Anolis sagrei: one gene and its partners. The protein of the gene in region 1 purifies or fractionates together with the protein of each later gene. This does not show direct contact. Links are inferred from orthologs where the notes say so. Each region holds a gene or a part of one and is shown on either strand. Other genes may lie near its edges. The genes, in order: CD9, ITGA6 and IGSF8.

Region 1 (7,235 bases):
CGCAGAGCAGCCTCCCTTACTCGCAAGTAAGCCGCGCGGGCCTGCTCCTCCCTTGGCAGGCCCGATGGACAGCGTGAGCCAGCCAAGGGAGGCTGCTCCGCGTGGTCTACTTGCGCGTAAAGCACCTCGCGAGGTGCTTTACTCGCAAGTAAGCCGCGCGGGCCTGCTCCTCCCTTGGCAGGCTCACGCTGTCCAAGGGAGGCTGCCCTGGTGCTCCATGCAGTCATGCTGGCCACATGACCTTGGAGGTGTCTACAGACAACGCTGGCTCTTCGACTTAGAAATCCAGATGAGCACCACACCCCAGAGTCAGACACGACTGGACTTCATGTCAGAGGAAAACCTTTAACCAGGAAAATCTTGGAAGATCCAGGGTGGGAGAAAGAACTCTTGTCTGTTGGAGGTAGGTATGAATGTTTCAATTGGCCACCTTGATTGCCATTTCATAGCCTGACAGTTTTTAGGGAGAATCCTTTGTTGAGAGGTGATTAGCTGGCCCTGATTGTTTCTTGTCTGGAGTTCCCCTGTGTTTGAGTATTGTTATTTATTTACAGTTATAATTTTAGATTTTGTTCAGACTGGAAATAGGAAGATTTCCCATTCTCTTCTCCTGGAATTGCTGTCTAAAGAGGGCTAGAAAGAACCCCCTCTAAGGGTCCTTCCACACAGCAAAATAAGATATGTGCAATGTGCATAGGAATTTTTTAATTGATTTTTTTTAAAAAACTATAGTCCGGCCCTCCATCGGTCTGAGGGACAGTAAACTGGCCCCCGGTTTAAAAAGTTTGAGGACCCCTGCCCTAGATGGTCCAAGTTTAGGTATTTGACTGACCACATCTCCTTGTGTGAACCTGCCCAGTCCTTGAGATCTTCAGGAGAGGCCCTTCTCTTGGTCCTACCTCCATCTCAAGCACAGTCGGTGGGAACGAGAGAGCAGGCCTTTTTTCTCAGTGGCTGTCCTTCAACTCTGGAACCCCTGCCCAGGGAAGCCAAAATGGCCCCTTCTCTTCTGTTCCTTCCAGCGGCAGACTAAAACCTTTTTATTCAGGCAGGCTTTTAAATATGAAGGTGTTTAAGGCAGGGGGTGCTGTGGATTTATATGCTTTTATGGTTTTAACTTCAATTGGTTTTAATATGAATTATGCTTAATATTATTTTCATATTTGTATATTGTATATTTTAAGTTGTATCGTAATACTTTTAATTGTGAGCCACTTTGAGTCTCCATATGAAGAGAAAAGGTAAGATATAAGTAAACATAACATGCTGCCTAAAAAACTCACAGCAACCCGGCATTATTTTCATTAAGGAAAATTACAAACTCAGGGCCTAGAGACTGGTGGAAATAATAGTACTCCCCTCAGCCACAGAAAATGAAGTTTCTGGAGTATAACAACTACTTTCAAAGTAAGTACCGCACAATTTAACAAGAAATAACACTTTCAAAGCAGGTGAAAGCTTCTCTGGGACCAAAGGGAAAAGCAGTCTTTCTGGAGCCCAGCAAACAGTCCCAGTGTAAGTGGGAGGGGAGGGGAAAGAGAGAGAGGGAAGAAGAGGGAAAGAGAGGAAAAAAGAGAGGGGGAGAAGGGGAGAGACAGAAGAGTGAGTGAGGGGGAGGGGGTCAGAGAGAGAGAACAGAGGGAGGGAGGGAGGAGAGAGAAAAGGAGGGGGAGAGAGATGAGAGAGGAAGAGAGGGAGGGGTGAGAGAGAGGGGGAGGGAAGGAAGGAAGGGGAGAGTGAGGAGGGGAGAGGGAAGAAGAAGGGGAGAGGGAAGGGTGAGAGAGGGAGGGGTAGAGGGAAGAAAGAAGAGAAGGAAGGGGAGAGAGAAGAAGAGAGGGGGAGAGTGAGGTGCTAGAGAGAGGAGGGGAGTGGAAGAAGAGAGAGGGGGAGATGGAGAAAGAAGGGAGAGGGAGGGGTGAGAGAAGGAAGGGTAGAGGGAAGAAAGAAGAGAAGGAAGGGGAGGGAGAAGAAGAGAGAGGGAGAGTGAGAGAGGAGGGAGGGAGGGGGAGTGGAAGAAGAGAGAGAGGGAGAGAGAAAAAGAGAGGGGGGTGAGGGGCCAGAGAGGAGGGAAGAAGGGAGAGGGAGGGGGAGAGAGGGGGGAATGGGAAAAGAGAGGGAGGGAGATAAAGAAGGGGAGAGGGAGGGGGAGAGAGAGGGGGGAGTAGGAAAGAGAGAGAGAGAGATAGCAGGGGGAGAGAAGAGAGGGAGGGGGGAGAGACAGAAGAGAGGTGGAGTGAGAGGGTCAGGGAGAAAGAGAGAATAGAGAGGGGAGAGGGAAGTGGGAGGGATGGGAAAAGGGAGAGAGAGGGAGGGAGGGGAGAGAAAAGGAGGGGAGAGGGAAGAGAGTGGGAGAGAGTAAAGGGCCAGAGAGATGAGGGAGTAAGGGGCGAGAGAGAGGAGGGAGCGAAGGAGGGGGAGAGGGAGGAGGGGAGAGGGAGGGAGAAAGGGACAAAGAAGGGGAGAGGGAGGGGTAGAGGGAAGAAAGAAGAGAAGGAAGGGGAGATAGAAGAAGAGAGGGGGAGAGTGAGGTCCCAGAGAGGAGGGAGGGGGTGAGAGAGAGGGAAGAAGAGAGAGACATGGAGAAAAAAGGGGAGAGGGAGGGGGTGAGAGGGGGGTAGAGGGAAGAAAGAAGAGAAGGAAGGGGGAGAGAAAAAGGGGCAGAGAGAGAGGGGAAGAAGGGAGAGGGAGGGGGGAGAGAGGGGGGAGTGGGAAAAGAGAGGGAGGGAGTTAAAGAAGGGGAGAGAGGGGGGAGAGGGGGAGTGGGCAAAGAGAGAGAGGGAGATAGAAGGGGAGAGGGAGGGGGAGAGAAGAGAGGGGGAAGACAGAAGAGAGAGGGAGGGAGGGGGTCAGGGAGAAAGAGAAAATAGGGGGAGAGGGAGGGGAGGGAGGGATGGGAAAAGTGAGAGAGAGGGAGGGGAGAGAGAGAAGAGAGGGAGGGGAGAGAAGAGAGGGAGGGAGAATAAAGGGCCAGAGAGATAGAGGGGGAGAAGAGAGGGGGGGAGAGGCAGAAAGAAGGAGAGAGAGAAGAAGAGAGGGGGAGAGAAGAGAGGGAGGTGTAGAGGGAAGAAAGAAGAGAAGGAAGGGGGGAGAGGGGAAGAGTGAGGAGGAGGAGAGGAAGAAAGAAGAGAGGGAAGAGTGGGGAGAGAACAGAGAGAGAGGGAGAGATGAGGGAAGGGCGAGAGCGGGGCCCGCAGGCCTGGCGTGACGCCGGCGAGGGCGGGCGGAGGAGCCCAGGGAGCGGCCCTGGGGGCCGGGGTGGAGCCCGCGACGAGCCGGTCTGAGGAGTGGCCCTAGGGAGCGCCTTTCCCTGCCGGGGCTGCTCAGACGCGCCTCCCGCCTCGCCACGCAGAGAAGCACCGCCGCTCCCGCTGCCTTCGAGTCGCCGCCATGCCCGTCAAGGGGGGCACCAAGTGCATCAAGTACCTGCTCTTCGGCTTCAACTTCGTCTTCTGGGTGAGTCCCCAGCACTGAGAGCAGGCTCGCCTCAGCCGCCGCTCACCTGGGCAAAGAAACTCTCCCCTCCCCTCCCCCGCCCGGTCGAAAACCGAGCGCGAGCCCCTTCTCCGAACCCTTCCGAAGCGTTCCGAGTGAGGCTTTTTTTCCCCTCCTTTCCGAAGAGGCATTTGCTAGGGAACTCTAAATGCAGAAGGAACTTTAGCGCGCGCGCTCTCCACCGAGTAGAAGCCGCCCTGGTTGGCTTCTTTGAGGCAAAAAAAGCAAGAAAGCCCCGGATGGTGGGCACGCGGACCCCCCCCCCCCTTCTTCTCCCTTCCCAACCTCCCAGGTGCCTGGCTCCTTGGAAGGTGAAGCCACAGTAGTGCGTTCCCATCAAAATACTGTAATACTCCAATAATAATAGTTGGTAGAGACCCCATGGGCCATCTAATCCAACTCCTTGCCATGCAGGATAAGCACAAAGTACTCCTGACAGATGGCCATCCAGCCTCTTTAAAAAAAAAAAAAACCTCTAAAATCAGGACAGTAAATAAAGAGCAACACTCCAAAAGCAGGGGAATTCCAGACAAGAATCAATCATAGCCAGCTAACACCTCCCAATAAAGGATTCCACCAAGCAGCAACCAGCCAGGCTTTGAAGCTGCAATGCCATTAAAAGTAGTCAGTTACAACATTCACACCTGCCTCAAACAGACAAGCGTTCTTTCTCCCACTCTGGATATTCCACAGATATATAAACACAGATATGGAGCCCCCAAGATGCAGTGGGTTAAAGCGCTGAGCTTGTTGACTGAAAGGTCGCAGGTTCGAATCTGGGGAGCGGCGTGAGCTTCCGCTGTCAGCCCCGGCTTCTGCCAACCTAGCAGTTCGAAAACATGCAAATGTGAGTAGATCAATAGGTACTGCTCCAGCGGGAAGGTAACAGCGTTCCATGCAGTCATGCCGGCCACATGACCTTGGAGGTGTCTATGGACAACGCTGGCTCTTCAGCTTAGAATGGAGATGAGCACCACACATGAGCTTCCACTGTCAGCCCTAGCTTCTGCCAACCTAGCAGTTCGGAAACATGCAAATGTGAGTAGATCAATAGGTACCACTCCGGCGGGAAGGTAACGGCATTCCATGCAGTCATGCCAGCCACATGACCTTGGAGGTGTCTACAGACAACGCTGGCTCTTCAGCTTAGAAATGGAGATGAGCACCACACCCCAGAGTTGGAGACCACTGGACTTCATGTCAGGGGGAAACCTTTACCTTTACTATAAACCCCACTTGCCTAGTTTAGACCTCACAACCTCTGAGGATGCCTGCCATAGATGTAGGTGAAATGTCAGGAAAGAATGTTTCCAGAACATGGCCGTACAGCCCAGAAAACTCACAGTAACTCATCCAGCCTCTGTTTAAAAGCTTCCAAGTAAGGAGCCTCCACTATACTCCGAGGCAGAGAGTTCCACTGTTGAACAGCTTTTCCAGGGCCTTTCCACACAGCCATATAATCCAGACTATCAAGTCAGATAATCCACAATATCTATTTTGCACTGGATTGTCTTTGTCTTATGTTTGTTATAACAGGCTGTGCTTTTTATTTAATTTTAGTTTGTTAAGTTACAATTCGCATTAATATGTTGGGTTGTATAAATTTTGTTATTATGGATGTATTGTTGTTGTATTTAGGCATTGAATGTTTGCCTTTTATGTTTGGAATCTGCCCTGAGTCCCTCTGGGGAGACAGAGCAGAGTATAAATAAAGTTTTGTTATATTACTAGCCATCTCCTGCCACGTGTTGCTGTGGCCCAATCTGGTGATCTCAAAAATAAAGTAATGAGAAAGTGTTGATTTCTAATATATGTAATTTCTTTTTGCTTGTGGGTAAACAGTATTACTTGCTGTTTCTTTGTCAGTGTTGATGTGGAGAGTGTCTGGTTTGCCCACCCTGGAACATGGAACATATTATTGTCCTTTAGGGATCCCTTTCAAATCTATGATATTATATCTGTCATATACATATATATGTGTATGTGTGTGTGAATCAAATATACCTATCTATATCTATGGCTAGATGGTTCTTTGTCAAGAGGGCTTTGATTATGTTTTCTTGTCCTGGTGAAGGGTGTTGGACTGGATGGTCTTAAGGCAGTATATCTCAATTTGGGGGTCACAAGGGGGGTGTTATAGGGATGAGGTCTGTCTACAGTGAAATAGAGTGGGACTGTGACTTTCCTCGGTCTAGACACTATATTCCTGTTGATGTATCCTAGAAGCATATTGGCTTTTTTAGCTGCCACATCTTTCTATTGCAATGTTTCTCAACCTGGGGGTCAGGACCCCTGGAAGGGTTGCGAGGGGGCATCAGAGGGGTCACCAAAGACCATCAGAAAACACAGTATTTTCTGTTGTTCACGGGGGTTCTGTGTGCCAGGTTTGGCCCAATGCTATCGTTGGTGGAGTTCAGAATACTCTTTGATTGTAGGTGAACTATAAATCCCAGTAACTACAACTCCCAAATGTCAAGGTCTATTTTCCCCTAACTCCATCTGTGTTCACATTTGGGCATATGGAGAATTTGTGCCAAGTTTGGTCCAGATCCATCACTGTTTGACTCCACAGTGCTCTCTGGATGTAGGTGAACTACAACTCCCAAACTCAAGGTCAATGCCCACCAAACCCTTGTAGTATTTTCTGTTGGTCATGGGAGTCCTGTGTGCCACGTTTGGTTCAATTCCATCATTGGTGGAGTTCAGAATGCTCTTTGATTGTAGGTGAACTATAAATCCCAGCAACTATAACTCCCAGATGTCAAAATCAGTTTTTTTAGTGATGGTCACTCCTTGGGTTATTAGGTGTCTTGTGTCCAAATTTGGCGGCAATTTGTCCAGCGGTTTTTGAGTTATGTTAGTCCCACAAACAAACATTACATTGTTATTTATATAGATGATGATGATGATGATGATGATGATGATGATGATTATTATTATTATCTGCCATATAGTCCAATTCAATGCCACCTTCTGGACACCTTCCAGCTTGTCTATATCTCTTTTGAACTGTGGTGCCCAGCAGTGGACAGTATTCCAGTTGAGGTCTAACCAAAGCGGAATAGAGAGGGACCATGACTTCCCTCGATCTAGACCCTATACTCCTTTTGATGGATCCCAAAATCCCATTGGCTTTTTTAGCTGCTGCATCACATTGTTGGCTCATGTTTAACCAGTTCTCCATGAAGACTCCCAAGATCTTTGCCGAGTATTAATTTTGGAGTGTTTGTTAAGTGATTTGATTCTCACTTCTTTTTTGTGGCTTGATATATCTGGAGAACATCGATGGAAAATATATTTCTTTATCAGCATCTGGATGATCAGAGGACATGCCACATTTGAATCCTATCACAGAGTACATGGAGATGATCTCATATTGTCCTCACAGTGGCCCATGTATTAAATTTGTGAGAAAATGGCCTTTAAATGTCAAGCAAAAAGTTTCATGACCAAGCTTTATTTCGATCAATAACACTATGTAACACAATGTTTGTTCCTGGGTTATAAATGTCATTTCTGTCATAAAAAAACATGGGAAGAGTGTATTAAACTGCCCAACGTTTGTTCTCGTGGGACATACCGAGGTGATAGTTTTTCAATTATAATATCTTCAAGAGTTGCAACCAATTCAACATAGTTTGTGGCAGTCACAAAACAAAGTTTCAGGAGTAGAATAAATACTTTCAAAGTAAGGATTGTACAATTAAATAGCAAATAACACTTTCAAACCAGGAATAGAAACT
Region 2 (7,235 bases), on another chromosome or scaffold:
GGCAAAAGGGGACTGAAACTGTGTATGGTAAGAAATAAACACACATATGAGAGAATCCCCATATCCAAGTATTCAACCTTCCACGTCTAGTAAATATTCACACACACATACACTTCAATTTTGCTATTTTATAGAAGGGAACCCAATTTTACTATTCCAGCATTTCTCAACCTGGGGGTAGGGACGCCTGGGTGAGTGGGGAGGGGATGTCAGAGGGGTTGATAAAGACCATCAGAAAACATGGTATTTTCTGTTGTTCATGGGGGTTCTGTGTGGGAAGTTTGGCCCAATTCTATCATTGGTGGGGTTCAGGATGCTCTTTGGTTGTAGGTGAACTATAAATCCCAGCAACTACAACTCTTAAATGTCAAGGTCTATTTTCCCCAAACTCCACCAGTGTTCATATTTGGGCATATTGAGTATCTGTGCCTAGTTTGGTCCAGATCCATGATTGTTTGAGTCCACAGTGCTCTCTGGATATAGGTGAACTACAACTCCCAAACTCAAGGTCAATGCCCACCAAACCCTTCCAGTATTTTCTGTTGGTCATGGGAGTTCTGTGTGCCAAGTTTGGTTCAATTCCATCATTGGTGGAGTTCAAAATGCTCTTTGATTGTAGGTGAACTATGAATCCCAGCAACTACAACTCCCAAATGACAAAATCAATCCCCACCCCCACCCCATCACTATTCAAATTTGGGCGCATCAGGTATGTGTGCCAAATTTGGTCCAGTGAATTAAAATACACCCTGCAATCAGATATTTTACCTTACGATTCATAACAGTAGTAAAATTAGTTATGAAGTAGCAACGTAAATAATGTTATGGTTGGGGGTGACCACAACATGAGGAACTGTATTAAGAGGTTGTGGCATTAGGGAGGTTGAGAACCACTGAACTATGTCATTGCATATAATGACTTGAGTATACATAAATTTTGGCATACTGGAACCGTATCCCAGTGGATAAGATTTTCAACTCCAACAAGTTCCTCTAAAGCAGCTTACAAAGAAAGAATAACACTGAATAAAACATAAAAATCAACACTAGATTAAAACTATATATTAAAAGCATTAGAATTAAAACCTATTTTAAGGATCATGCCATCCCAAGCAGAAAAATAATATTTTCATGGTTCACTTCACATGCAATGAAGGGTGAAGCTAGTCTTCGCCTCAGTGGGATGGAATTCCACAACTCCCACAGAAAAGGCCCGTCCTTCTCTTCCTGTCAATCAACCCTCTTTGGGTGAAGGGACATAAAAGGAGGGGGTTGGAGAGACAGTGGTTTCCAAATAGTCAAAAGGCTGCCACATAGAGGAGTTAATGGACTTATTCTTTGGTACCACCGTGAGTTCAGTTCTTTGAGCCAGGATGCAGCCAGGCTTTGAAGCTGCAAGGCTATTCAATGCTAATCAAGGTGATTAATTGCAACATTCACACTTGCCTCAAAGAGACAAGAGTTGTTTCCGCCCCCCCCCCCGCCCCCCCCCCGGACATTATTCCACAGATATATGAATCCCACTTGCCTAGTTTCCAACAGACCTGACATCCTCTGAGGATGCTTGCCATAGATGTGGGCGAAACGTCAGGAGAGAATCCTTCTGGAACATGGCCACGCAGCCCGGAAAACTCATATACTTTTTTCCCACCCTGGACATTATTCCACATGCATATAAACCCCACTTGCCTAGTTTCAAACAGACCTGACAACCTCTGAGGATGTCTGTCATAGATGTGGGCGAAACGTCAGAAGAGAATGCTTCTGGGTCATGGCTACGCAGCCTGGAAAACTCATATACTTTTCTCCCACCCTGGACATTATTCCACATGCATATAAACCCCGCTTGCCTAGTTTCAAACAGACCTGACAACCTCTGAGGATGCCTGCCATAGATGTGGGCGAAACGTCAGGAGAGAATGCTTCTGGAACATGGCCACGCAGCCCGGAAAAGTCATACATATACTTTTCTCCCACCCTGGACATTATTCCACATGCATATGAATCCCACTTGCCTAGTTCCCAACAGACCTCACAACCTCAGAAGATGTTTGCCACAGATGTGGGCGAAACGTCAGGAGATAATGCTTCTGGGAAATGGCCAGACAGCCCGGAAAAGTCACAGCAACCCAAAATGTATTATTATGATTATGATATTATGATCATAGTGTGGTTGATTCCCGTCCACACGGGAGCTGCCAAGTAGATTTTGCTTTCCCACCTGAAACCCCCAACAAGCCCTGGGATCCGTCCCTGGAGGAGCGCCGACCGCGCAGTGGATCCGCCTGACTCTCGTGGGTCTGCTCCAGAGTGCGAGGCGAGGTTGGGGGCGAGGTTTCAAGGGGGCGGCGCCTGTTTGTGGGGGCGGAGCTCGGCCCCTCCTTCGTCACTGGGAGCGAGTCTCTGGAGAGAACAAGGGGCTCATTCAGAGGGAGGGAGGGAGAGAGGGAGGCAGCCGTGAGCCCGGGGCCTCTTCTTCTTCTTCTTCTCCTCCGCGGGACTCCGGCCCTTCCAGGGACCCTTAAGCATGCTGCCTCGGCCGCCGCCCGCCTTGTACCTGTCCCTCCTCCCGGGGCTGGCGCTCGCCTTCAACCTGGACGTCGGCAATGTGGTCTTGTGGAGCGGCGAGCCCGGAAGCCTCTTCGGCTTCTCCCTGGCCATGCACCGGCAGCTGGAGCCGCAGGAGAGGAGGCTGTGAGTAGGAGCACCAGAGTGTACACATAGATAGAGAGGTCTCTGCCTTTGCATACCTCTAGAGGCTGCTTGGCTGGACTTCACTCCTGCCCAACTCAGACCTGAGTGCCCAGGTTGGCGTGGATGGCGGTGGCCATTGGGAGCTCCCAGGACCTTGTACATCAAGGCAGGAAACCCCACATTAGTGTGGACTCAGATAACCCAGTTCAAAGCAGATCTTGTGGGATTTTCTGCCTTGATATCCTGGGATATAGGGCTGTGTGGAAGGGTCAGTTCAAAGCAGATATTGGATTTTCTGCCTTGATGTTCTGGGTTATATGGCTGTGTGGAAAGGCCCGCAGATAACCCAGTTCCAGGCTGATCTTGTGGGATTATCTGCCTTGATATCCTGGGATATATGGCTGTGTGGAAGGACCCTCGGATAATCCAGTTCCAAGCAGATATTGGGGGATTTTCTGCCTTGATCTTCTGGGTTATATGGCTGTGTGGAAGGACCCTCAGTTAACCCAGTTCCAGGCTGATCTTCTGGGATTTTCTGCCTTGATATCCTAGGATATAGGGCTGTGTGGAAGGGCCCTGAGTCTCACCTGATCCTTTTTAGGCTGGACCCACTCTAACCACGAGTTTTCCCCTATATTTAGAACCAGTCCCACCAAGGCGTTGCAATTTGGGAGCTTTTTTGGACTTCTAAAAGCAGATCAGGCTGGCATTTTTGAAGGGATCGTCTTGTTCTTTCCCTGCAGGGAAAAGGGTTGGACTGGATGGCCTTTGGGGGCTCTCTGTGAGTGTAGGATTGGAAACTTGGGCTCCAAACTCTTTTGGCTTTTGAGTCGCGCCTTTTCCATCTCTGGGAAGGGAGGTGTGGAAGGAGGGAAGGGGAGAGGCTGGACCCACTTCCGCCGGAGTGGGGCCTTGATCCCTACCTTCCAACGCCGGTGGCACACTGGGTTAAACCCTTGTGCCGGCAGGACTGAAGATCGACAGGTCGCAGGTTCCAATCCGGGGAGAGCGCGGATGAGCTCCCTCTGTCAGCTCCAGCTCCCCACGCGGGGACTTGAGAGAAGCCTCCCACAAGGAGGGTAAAACATCAAAACATCCGGGCGTCCCCTGGGCAGCGTCCTTGCAGACGGCCAATTCTCTCACACCAAAAGCGACTTGCAGTTTCTCAAGTCGCTCCTGACAAGGGGAAAAAAACAAAACCCTGGAAGTCGTGCTTAAGTGTTTGGCTGCGTCTGTTTTATTTGAACTGAAACCTCGGAGAAGCCACCTGTTTGCAAGCGCATGCTCAGATCTGAGGAGAAAAAAACAACAACAACAGATGAGGAATGGAGGCAAAATCATGGGACTGATCAAGCATTGAGAGCTATGACCCTAGTATCTACGCTTTCCATTTAGAGCAGTTTCAACCCGGTATTCGAGGCTCGGTTGGTAATTCCACAGAGCTCTTTTCCCTCCTTTCCCGCGCTTTGTGAGGAATGTGTTGTCTGGTTACTAACTAACGTCGAGCAAAAGGTTTTGCAACATCTACAACAGGTAGGGGCAAACTTCGGCCATCCTGGTGTTTTGGACTTCAACTCCCACAATAAGGAATTGTGGGAGTTGAAGTCCAAAACACCAGGAGGGCCGAAGTTTGCCCCTACCTGTTGTAGATGTTGCAAAAACGTTTGTTTTCCGGAAGTGCTACCTGATTTCACACAGCGCCATATTAAAAGAAACAAGATTCCGAAGCAGATTCAAAACACAACAAAACAGCCCAGCCCAATAGGCTTGGCATCCTTAACCAAGAATGTGAAGGCTTCAGGGTGTGTGTGTGTGTTGGGTGTGTGTTGTGTGGGCAGAGCAACACAAGCAGCCTCCCCTGAAGGGAAGGCGAGCCTCGCAGGTCAGCTCAGCAACCCAGCGCCAAAAGGCGGGCCCAAAACAAGCCAATGAGGTGGTTGTCCTGGGAGGAAAAGCAACTTGAAAAGACAGGATGCCAAGGTGGAAAGGCTCTGGTGGAATGTGCCTGCTTTGAAGATTTTTTTCAGTGTCAGGATCAACTTGAGAAACTGCAAGTCACTTTTGGCGTGAGAGAATTGGCAGTCTGCAAGGACATTGCCCAGGGAATGCCCAGATGTTTTGATGTTTTACCATCCTTGTGGGAGGCTTCTCTCATCTCCCCGCATGTGGAGCTGGAGCTGACAGAGGGAGCTCAACCCACTCTCCTCGGATTGGAACCTTCGTTTTGTTGGTCAGCAGCCCTGCAGGCACAAGGGTTTAACCCACTGCGTCACCACTTTTTTTGGTCGTGTCAGAAGCAATTTGAGAAACTGCAAGTGTGTGAGAGAATTGGCCATCTGCAAGGACAGAGGACGCCCGGATGATTTGATGTTTTAATCATCCTTGTGGGAGGCTTCTCTCATGTCCCCGCATGAGGAGCTGGAGCTGATAGAGGGAGCTCATCCGCCTCTCCCCAGATTCGAACCTGCGACCTGTCGGTCTTCAGTCCTGCCGGCACAGGGGTTTAACCACTGTGCCACCACTGAGAGCAGAAGATGAAACACAGTGGGAGGAGAAGGAGGAAGCCTTTCCTTCTCTGTGGTGTCTTCAGATATGGTTCTCTTGAGCGACCAGGAGACTTTTGACTTCAGTTTCTTTTCATCATGTTGCTGGTTTATGCACTTCATTTCAGGGAGGGAGTTTTAAAGGTGTTGTAGCATAAATTATCCTGAGGAATCTGTATATGGACCAAGAAGCAACAGTAAGAACAGACCAGGGAACAACAGACTGGTTCAAGATTGGGAAAGGAGTACAGCAGGGCTGCATACTCTCACCCAACCTATTCAACTTGTATGCAGAACACATCATGCAACGTGCGGGTCTTGACGAATCCATGGCTGGAGTTAAAAATGCTGGAAAAAAACATTAACAACCTGAGATATGCAGATGATACCACTTTGATGGCGTTTTTTTTTTGTTGTGTCAGGAGCGACTTGAGAAACTGTTAGTCGCTTCTGGTGTGAGAGAATTGGCTGTCTGCAAGGACATGGCCCAGGGGATGCCTGGATGATTTGATGTTTTTATCATCCATGTGGGAGGCTTCTCTCATGTCCCTGCACGAGGAGCTGGAGCTGACAAAAGGAGCTCATCCGCCTCTCCCCTGTCGGTCTTCAGTCCTGCCAGCTCAGGGGTTTAACCAACTGCACCACCGGGGGCTCCTTGCTTCGATGGCTGAAAGCAAGGAGGAGCTGAGGAGCCTTCTAATCAAGATGAAAGAAGAAAGTACAAAAGCTGGGTTGCAGTTAAACATAAAAAACCAAGATTATGGCAATCAGACTGATTGACAACTGGCAAATAGAGGAAGAAAATGTGGAGGCAGTGAGAGACTTTGTATATCTAGGTGCAAAGATTACTGCAGACGCAGATAAAATAGTGAAGAGTAGAGATATCATACTGGCAATGAAGATCTGCATAGTTAAAGCAGTGGTATTCCCCATAGTAATTATGGATACGAGAGCTGGATCATAAGGAAGGCTGAGCAAAGGAAGATAGATGGTTTTGAACTGTGGTGTTGGAGGAAAATTCAGAGAGTACCTTGGATTGGAAGAAGATCCAACTGGCCCATACTCCAGGAAATAAAGCCCGAGTGCTTATTGGAGGGAAGGATATTAGGGGCAAAAATGAAGTACTTTGGTCACATCATGAGAAGACAGGAAAGCTTGGAGAAGACAATGATGCTGGGGAAAATGGAAGGAAAAAGGAAGAGGGGCCGACCAAGGGCAGGATGGATGGATGGTATCCTTGAAGTGACTGGCTTGACTCTGAAGGAGCTGGGGGTGGTGACGGGCAACAGGGAGCTCTGGTGTGGGCTGGTCCATGAGGTCACAAAGAGTCGGAAGCAACTGAATGAATAAACAACAACAACGTGTAAATTATGTAGCAGGAGGCTCTCATAACAATCCTGTTAGGAAAGTTATCAAGTGAAATACCAGACATGGGCAAACTTTGTCCCTCCAGGTGTTTAGCACTTCAGTTCCCACAATTCCTAACGGTTGGTAAAGTGGTTGGGATTTCAAGTCCAAAACACCTGGACGGCCTATGTTTGTCCATGCCTTGTCTAAACAGCAGATTGAATGCAGCATGGGGCTCATGCCAGCTGTGTGTTTCAAACCCATGCAGCATTAGACATAAGCATGCAATGTCAGCCTTTCCTTGCTTTCATGTCTTCTTCCTCATTAACATGTAATGGCTGTTGAAGTGCCATCCAACTGCATTCGTTCTACAGGGTAGAATTTGGGATAGTTGATAGGGTTGACTCTGAGGCTGCATCTTCACTGTAGGATCAATACAGTTTGACATTACTTTTAACTGCTCTGGCCCAATGCTGTGGAATTCTGGGACTTGTAGTTTGATGGGGGCACTAACACTCTTTGGCAGGGAAGGCTGAAGATCTTGCAAAGCTACAACTCCCATGATTTCATAGCATTGAGCCATGGCAGTTTAAAGGGGTGCCACATTGCATTATTTTTATAGTGTAGATACACTGATAGGTGGCTGGGTGG
Region 3 (7,235 bases), on another chromosome or scaffold:
TTCCTTCCTTCCCTCCTTCCCTCTCTCTTTCCTTCTTTCACTTTTTTATTTCCTTCTCTCCTTACCTCCTTCACTACCTTTCTTTCCTTCTTGCCTTCCTTCCTTCTTTCCCTCCTTCTATCCCTCTCTCCTTCCTTCCTTCCTTCCTTCCTTCCTTCCCCCTTTCTGTGTTTTGTGTGTATATATATGCATATATGTGTATATATATTTGTGTATGTGTGTTTGTGTATATGTGTGGTTTTGCGCATGTGTTGTAAGGTTTTTTTTTTGGCTTTTTAAGTCTTTTCTGCTGTGTTTTTCAATTTTTTATGAGTGATGGTCACTTGTTGGCCTGATAGGTGTATTGTGTCCAAATTTGGTGTCAATAGGCTCACCGGTTTTTGAGTTCTGTTAATCCCAAAGATGAATATTACATTTTTATTTATAAAGATAAAAGTAGCCATCCCCTGTCATGCGTTGCTGTGGCCCACTTTGGTAGTCATGGGGGTTCTGTGTGGGAGGCTTGGCCCAATTCTATCGTTGGTGGGGTTCAGAATGCTCTGTGATTGTAGGTGAACTATATCTCTGCAACTACAACTCCCAAATGTCAAGGTTTATTTCCCCAAACTCCACCAGTGTTCACATTTGGACATATTGAGTATTCATGTAGATTTTGGTCCAGATCCATCATTGTTTGAGTCCACAGTGATCTCTGGATGTAGGTGAACTACAACTCCAAAACCAAAGAACACTTCCCACCAAACCCTTCCAGTATTTTCTGCTGGTCATGGGATAACTGTGTGCTAAGTTTGGTTCAATTTCATCATTGGTTGGTGGAGTTCAGAATGCTCTGTGATTCTAGGTGAACTATAAATCCCAGCAACTGCAACTCCCAAATGTCAAGATTATATTTTCCAGTGTTTACATTTGGGCATATTGAGTATTTGTGTAGAGTTTGGTCTAGATCCATCACTGTTTGAGTCTCCAGTGCTCTCTGGATGTAGGTGAACTACAACTCCCAAATTCAAGGTCAATGCCTACCAAACCCTTCTAGTGTTTTCTGTTGGTCATGGGAGTCCTGTGTGCCAAGTTTGGTTCAATGTCATAATTGGTGGAGTTCGGAATGCTCTTTGATTGTAGGTGAACTATAAATCCTAGCAACTACAACTCCCAAATGACAAAATCAAAACTTTTTTGAGTGAAGGATATAGGTTGGGTTGTTAGGTGTATGTTGTCCAAATTTGGTGTCAATTGGCCCACTGGTTTTTGAGTTCTGTGAATACCACAAACGAACATTATATTTTTATTTATATAGATGCATACAACAGCAAACGTTTACTCTGCATACAACAGTAAGCAGTAAACATATTGTGCAGGTACAACCGCACCAGGAGCTCCAATGTTGTTTGCTTTGCATTTGATGTTTGTTGTGGTCCTAAGTTTCAGGGACTCTGCAGATAGGTGGCTTCTTTTGGCTGCAATCATAGGGCAAGCCACCTGTCAATTATAGTTAGGTCTCTTTTTGGGTTTTTGGAGGGAATAGGAGCCTTTTTGGGTTCAGTCCACACAGAGAAGCCTTTCATGCAGGACATAATACCAAGAGCTCCTGTAGAAAGCTTTGTCTTCTACAGCTTGGCCGGGGAGATATACAGCTCACCGCTTGGCCAAGGTTATACAGCCCACAGCTTGGCCGAGGATCATACAGCCTTACAGCTCTTTTGCTGTGGGACTTCAGTCAGCCATCACTGAAACCTGAACTCCTTTTTCCCTGGAAGTCTACAAAGCTCTGCTTGGTAAGCAGGCATGTAGCCGGGGGGGGGGGGGGGGGGGGGGGGACTTGAGGGGCTTCAGCCCCCCCCCCCCGAAATTCTCATGGTGGTTCGCGAAAAGGCCTTGCTGGTGCATTATTTAAACTGTTATGTTTATTCATATCATGATCTGATCACCATACTCAATATATCCCATGTGCATGGGGGTATTGGGGTAATGATACAAAAGGTTTGCTAGGCTAGACCCTCTTTCACTCAGACTCAGCCCCCCCGAAACTCACCCTCCCCGAAATCCCCCTAAAAAAAACTCACACCCCCCCCCCCCCCCCCCCCCCCGAATCGAAATCCTGGCTATGGGCCTGTTGGTAAGGGTAACTCGCGGAAGCCAGAAGCAGTTGGTACCGGGTGTAGGGGCAAAGACAGACTGCCCAGATTAGAAGTTAAGGATTTCCCCATTAGTTAGTATACAGTTTATGAAGATAGCGCCTGTTCCCTGTGGACAAGATTGGAGAGAGAGCCAATAGACTATTAAGAAAGCCTTAAAGTACCTGTTTGTTTTCAATAATAAAGAATTTGTTGAACCTTTAAGCAATCTAAAGACTCTGTTTTAAGGAAATCCAAAGGCCGTTAATCTGAGGCAGCCCCAGCGTCCCGTTGGGCACACGGAATTTATGTCCTGTCTACAGTCTTATGCACAGGCCCAGCGTGCAACAGCACACATATACTACGTATACAACAGTTCTTGTATACTGTACATACAAGAACAGGAAACATACTATGCATACAACAGTGCGGACTCTGTCTGCTGGTTTTAACTTCTTCACTGTTCGACACCCAAAAGATGTCCCTAATATACCCTTCGACTATTAGTAGCATTCTTCTAATTTGAAAAAAAACCAATAGTCAAAATGTGTTTCTATCTTTGGTACAAAAAGGCCACAAATGAGTTCTGAGCATGCACAGAGTCACTGCAGGAAGGGAAGAGGAGGGAGGGTCTTTTCCATGAGCCACTCACTCACCCATCCCTCCCTTGTCTCCTCCTCTCCACATCTGGCGGGGGCGTGGCGAGCGAGAAGGCGGGCAAGCCAGCCAAGAAGCCCCCTTCACCCCCTTATCTCTTGAACAAGGGGGCAGCCAGAAGGCCAGGGCGAGGGGAAACCTCATTTTGGGGAGGGGGTCAAAGGTTGGCTCAGATCCGGGCGCCAAAGAGGAACAAGAGGGAGAGGAACTGCAGCAGCAACAGCATCCATGCGCCCTGCCCACTCGCTCCCACCTTTCTGTTCCTCTCTTGCAATGGATGCTCCTCGCAAGACCCCCCCGTGGCTGATCCACGTCTTTTTCCTTCTGGTCGGTGAGTCCAATGATGTGGGGGGAGGCGGCAAAGGAAGGATTCTTTCATTGGAGTGTGTTTTTGGGGGGAGATCTTCCCTCGTTTTGAGATGCGCCCAAAGGCGCAAAGGCGCACAAGACAACGCCTTGGAGACGGTTGGGGGGACCCTCTTTGCAAGAGAGCCATTCAAAATCGGGGGGCTCTTGGATCAAGTGGGGAGCCGTGTTTCATAGCTAATCCCTTGCTCTCCCTTCCCCCCTTAATCCTTTCCTCTCACGTTCCTGCTTTCCTTTCTCTTTTTCCCTTTGAAAAACGTCTCCAAAAAGAAGCAATTCCTGCAAAAAGGGAGGTGGAGAGATGGAGTCTTTGGGTGGGGTTTATGCTTGAGCAATTGGGTTTGACAGATAGACTCTAAGAAGTGAGATAGCTGGGGACTGGGGAAATCCAAGACTGATTCATTGGGTTGTTGTGGCCATGTTCCAGAAGCATTCTCTCCTGACGTTTCACCCACATCTATGGCAGGCATCCTCAGAGGTTGTGAGGCCTGTTGGAAACTAGGCAAGTGGGGTTTATATATCTGTGGAATGATGTCCAGTGTGGGAGAAATACTCCTGTCTGGATTGCTGTGAGTTTTCCAGCCTGTATGGCCATGTTCCAGAAGCATTCTCTCCTGACGTTTCACCCACATCTACGGCAGGCATTCTCAGAGGTTGTGAGGCCTGTTGGAAACTAGGCAAGTGGGGTTTATATATCTGTGGAATGATGTCCAGTGTGGGAGAAACACTCCTGTCTGGATTGCTGTGAGTTTTCCAGCCTGTATGGCCATGTTCCAGAAGCATTCTCTCCTGATGTTTCACCCACATCTATGACAGGCACCCTCACAGGTTGTGAGATCTGTTGGAAACTAGTCAAGTGGTGTTTATATGTCTGTGGAATAATGCCCGGGTGGGAGAAAGAAGTCTTGTCTGTTGGAGGCAGGTATAATTGTTGCAGTAGGGCAGCTTGATTAGCATTCCATAGCCTTGCAACTTCAAAGCCTGGCTGCTTCCTGCCTGGGGGAATCCTTGGTTGGGAGGTGATTAGCTGGCCCTGATAGTTTCTTGTCTGGAATTCTCCTGTTTTTGAGTGTGGTTCTTTATTTACTGTCTGGGCTTTAGAAGTTTTTTAAATAATGTAAATAATGTAAATAATGTAATACAATATAATACAATATAATACTACAATATAATACTACTAATAATACAATATAGCAATATAATAATCATATATTACATAATACATGTAATATTGATAATAATATTGCAGTATAGTGGTATAGTACAATATAGTAATATATAATAATAATATTGTGCTATGTGTTGTTGTTGTCCATTCGTTCAGTCGTTTCAGACTCTTTGTGACCTCATGGACCAGCCCATGACAGAGCTCCCTGTCGGCCGTCACTACCCCCAGCTCCTTCAAGGTCAATCCAGTCACTTCAAGGACTTGGTCGGCCCCTCTTCCTTTTTCCTTCAATTTCCCCCAGCTTCATTGTCTTCTCTAAGCTTTCCTGTCTTCTCATGATATGGCCAAAGTACTTCATCTTGGCCTCTACTATCCTTCCCTCCAATGAGCAGTCTGGCTTTATTTCCTGAAGTATGGACTGGTTGGATCTTCTTGCAGTCCAAGGCACTCTCAGCACTTTCCTCCAACACCACAGTTCAAAAGCATCTATCTTCCCTATGGTCCAGCTCTCACATCTGTAGGTCACTATGGAGAATACCATTGCTTTGACTATGCGGATCTTCGTTGCCAGTGTGATGTCTCTACTCTTCACTATTTTATCGAGATTGGCCCTTGCTTTCCTCCCAAGAAGGAAGCGTCTCCTAATTTCCTGGCCGCAGTCTGCGTCTGCAGTAATCTTTACACCTAGAAATACAAAGTCTGTCTCTACCTCCATGTTTTCTCCCTCTATTTCCCAGTTGTCAATCATTCTTTTTGTGCTATGCTAATAATATAATAAAGTGTAGGTAAAGATAAAGGTTTTCCCCTGACATTAAGTCGAGTCGTGACCAACTCTAGAAAGGAGATTCCATCTGAACATGAGGAAGAACTTCCTGACTGTGAGAGCCGTTCAGCAGTGGAACTCTCTGCCCCGGCGTGTGGTGGAGGCTCCTTCTTTGGAAGCTTTTAAACAGAGGCTGGATGGCCATCTGTCAGGGGTGATTTGAATGCAATATTCCTCTTCTTGGCAGATTGGGGTTGGACTGAATGGCCCATGAGGTCTCTTCCAACTCTTTGATTCTATGATTCTGTGGTGCTCATTTCTAAGCCGAAGAGCCAGTGTTGTCCATAGACACCTCCAAGGTCATGTGGCCAGCATGATTGCATGGCGTGCCGTTATACTGTATGTACATATAACTTGTCAGCCGCTCTGAGTCCCCTTCAGGGTGAGAGAGGGTGGGGTATAAATGTCATTCAATAAATAAATAAATTTTGTTCATTTTCATGGTTTCCTCCTTTCTGTTGAAATTGTCCACATGCTTGTGGATTTCAGTGGCTTCTCTGTGTAGTCTGACATGGTGGTTGTTAGAGTGCTCCGGAATTTATGTGTTCTCAAATAAAACTCTGTGTCCAGGTTGGTTCACCAAAAACGGGAATTCCAGACAAGAAACAATCAGGTCAGCTAATCACCTCCCAACAAAGGATTCGCTCTGGCCGGAAGCAGTCAAGCCTTGAAGCTGCCAGGCTATTCAGTGCTAATCAAGGTGGTCCCAATGGCAACATTCACATTTGCCTCAAGCAAAGAAGAGTTCTTTCTCTCACCCTGGACATCATTCCACAGATATATAAACGGCACTTGCCTATTCCAACAGGCCTCACAACCTCTGAGGATGCCTGCCATAGATGTGAGCGAAACGTCAGGAGAGAATCATAGAGTCAAAGAGTTGGAAGAGACCTCAAGGGCCATCCAGTCCAACCCCCTGCCAAGAAGCAGGAATATTGCATTCAAAGCACCCCCGACAGATGGCCATCCAGCCTCTGTTTAAAAGCTTCCACAGAAGGAGCCTCCACCACACTCCGGGGCAGAGAGTTCCACTGCTTAACAGCTCTCACAGTCAGGAATTTCTTCCTCATGTTCAGATGGAATCTCCTCTCTTGTAGTTTGAAGCCATTGTTCCGCGTCCTAGTCTCCATGGAAGCAGAAAATAAGCTTGCTCCCTCCTCCCTGTGGCTTCCTCTCACATATTTATACATGGCTATCATATCCCCTCTCATCCTTCTCTTCTTCAGGCTAAACATGCTCAGCTCCTTAAGCCGCTCCTCATAGGGCTTGTTCTCCAGACCCTTGATCATTTGAGTCGCCCTCCTCTGGACACATTCCAGCTTGTCAATATCTCTCTTGAATTGTGGTGCCCAGAATTGGACACAATATTCCAGGTATGGTCTAACCAAGGCAGAATACAGCATGGGGAGCATTACTTCCCTAGATCTAGACACTATGCTCCTATTGATGCAGGCCAAAATCCCATTGGCCTTTTTTGCCACCACGTCACATTGTTGGCTCATGTTTAACTTGTTGTCACGAGAACACCAAGATCTTTTTCTGCTCTCGAGCCAGGCATTGTCCCCCATTCTGTATCGTTTTTTCTGCCTAAGTGGAGTATCTTGCATGTGTCCCTGTTGAACTTCATTTTGTTAGTTTTGGCCCATCTCTCTAATCTGTCAAGATCATTTTGAATTCTGCTCCTGTCCTCTGGAGTCTTGGCTCTCCCTCCCAATTTGGTGTCATCTGCAAACTTGATGATCCTGCCTTCTAGCCCTTCATCTAAGTCATTAATAAAGATCCTGAACAGGACCGGGCCCCGGATGGAACCCTGCGGCACTCCACTCGTCACTTCTTTCCAGGATGAAGAGGAAGCCTTGGGGAGAATCACCTCTGGGTTCGTCCATTTAATCAATTACAGACCCTCCTCAGATCCAAGATCTTTTTCAAACACGCTTGGCGGGGATGAGGGACAGGTCCTTCTCGGTGGTGTCCCCCCGCCTGTGGAATTTGGTCCCCGGGGAAATTAGGTCATCGTCATCCCTCCTCACCTTTAGAAAAAAAGACACTATGCTCCTATTGATGCAGGCCAAAATCCCATTGGCTTTTTTTTGCCAATGGGAGGCTGGAT

The links.
Region 2: the proteins of CD9 (region 1) and ITGA6 purify together in Homo sapiens (co-immunoprecipitation; 3 studies listed by BioGRID and IntAct, with this or other methods). This does not show direct contact. The link is inferred for Anolis sagrei from reciprocal best matches to the Homo sapiens genes CD9 and ITGA6.
Region 3: the proteins of CD9 (region 1) and IGSF8 purify together in Homo sapiens (affinity purification with mass spectrometry; 5 studies listed by BioGRID and IntAct, counting the BioPlex papers as one, with this or other methods). This does not show direct contact. The link is inferred for Anolis sagrei from reciprocal best matches to the Homo sapiens genes CD9 and IGSF8.

The regions. Positions count from the first base shown.
Region 1 is NC_090025.1:103,252,356-103,259,590, reverse strand, and holds the start of CD9 (CD9 antigen), read left to right. Parts: upstream 1-3,264; 5' UTR 3,265-3,387; coding exon 3,388-3,453; intron 3,454-7,235. UniProt on the Homo sapiens protein: Integral membrane protein associated with integrins, which regulates different processes, such as sperm-egg fusion, platelet activation and aggregation, and cell adhesion.
Region 2 is NC_090021.1:193,436,786-193,444,020, reverse strand, and holds the start of ITGA6 (integrin alpha-6), read left to right. Parts: upstream 1-2,414; 5' UTR 2,415-2,527; coding exon 2,528-2,694; intron 2,695-7,235. UniProt on the Homo sapiens protein: Integrin alpha-6/beta-1 (ITGA6:ITGB1) is a receptor for laminin on platelets. Integrin alpha-6/beta-1 (ITGA6:ITGB1) is present in oocytes and is involved in sperm-egg fusion.
Region 3 is NC_090032.1:7,677,481-7,684,715, forward strand, and holds the start of IGSF8 (immunoglobulin superfamily member 8), read left to right. Parts: upstream 1-2,790; 5' UTR 2,791-2,996; coding exon 2,997-3,099; intron 3,100-7,235. UniProt on the Homo sapiens protein: Member of the immunoglobulin superfamily (IgSF) that links tetraspanin-enriched microdomains to the actin cytoskeleton and plays several important roles in innate and adaptive immunity.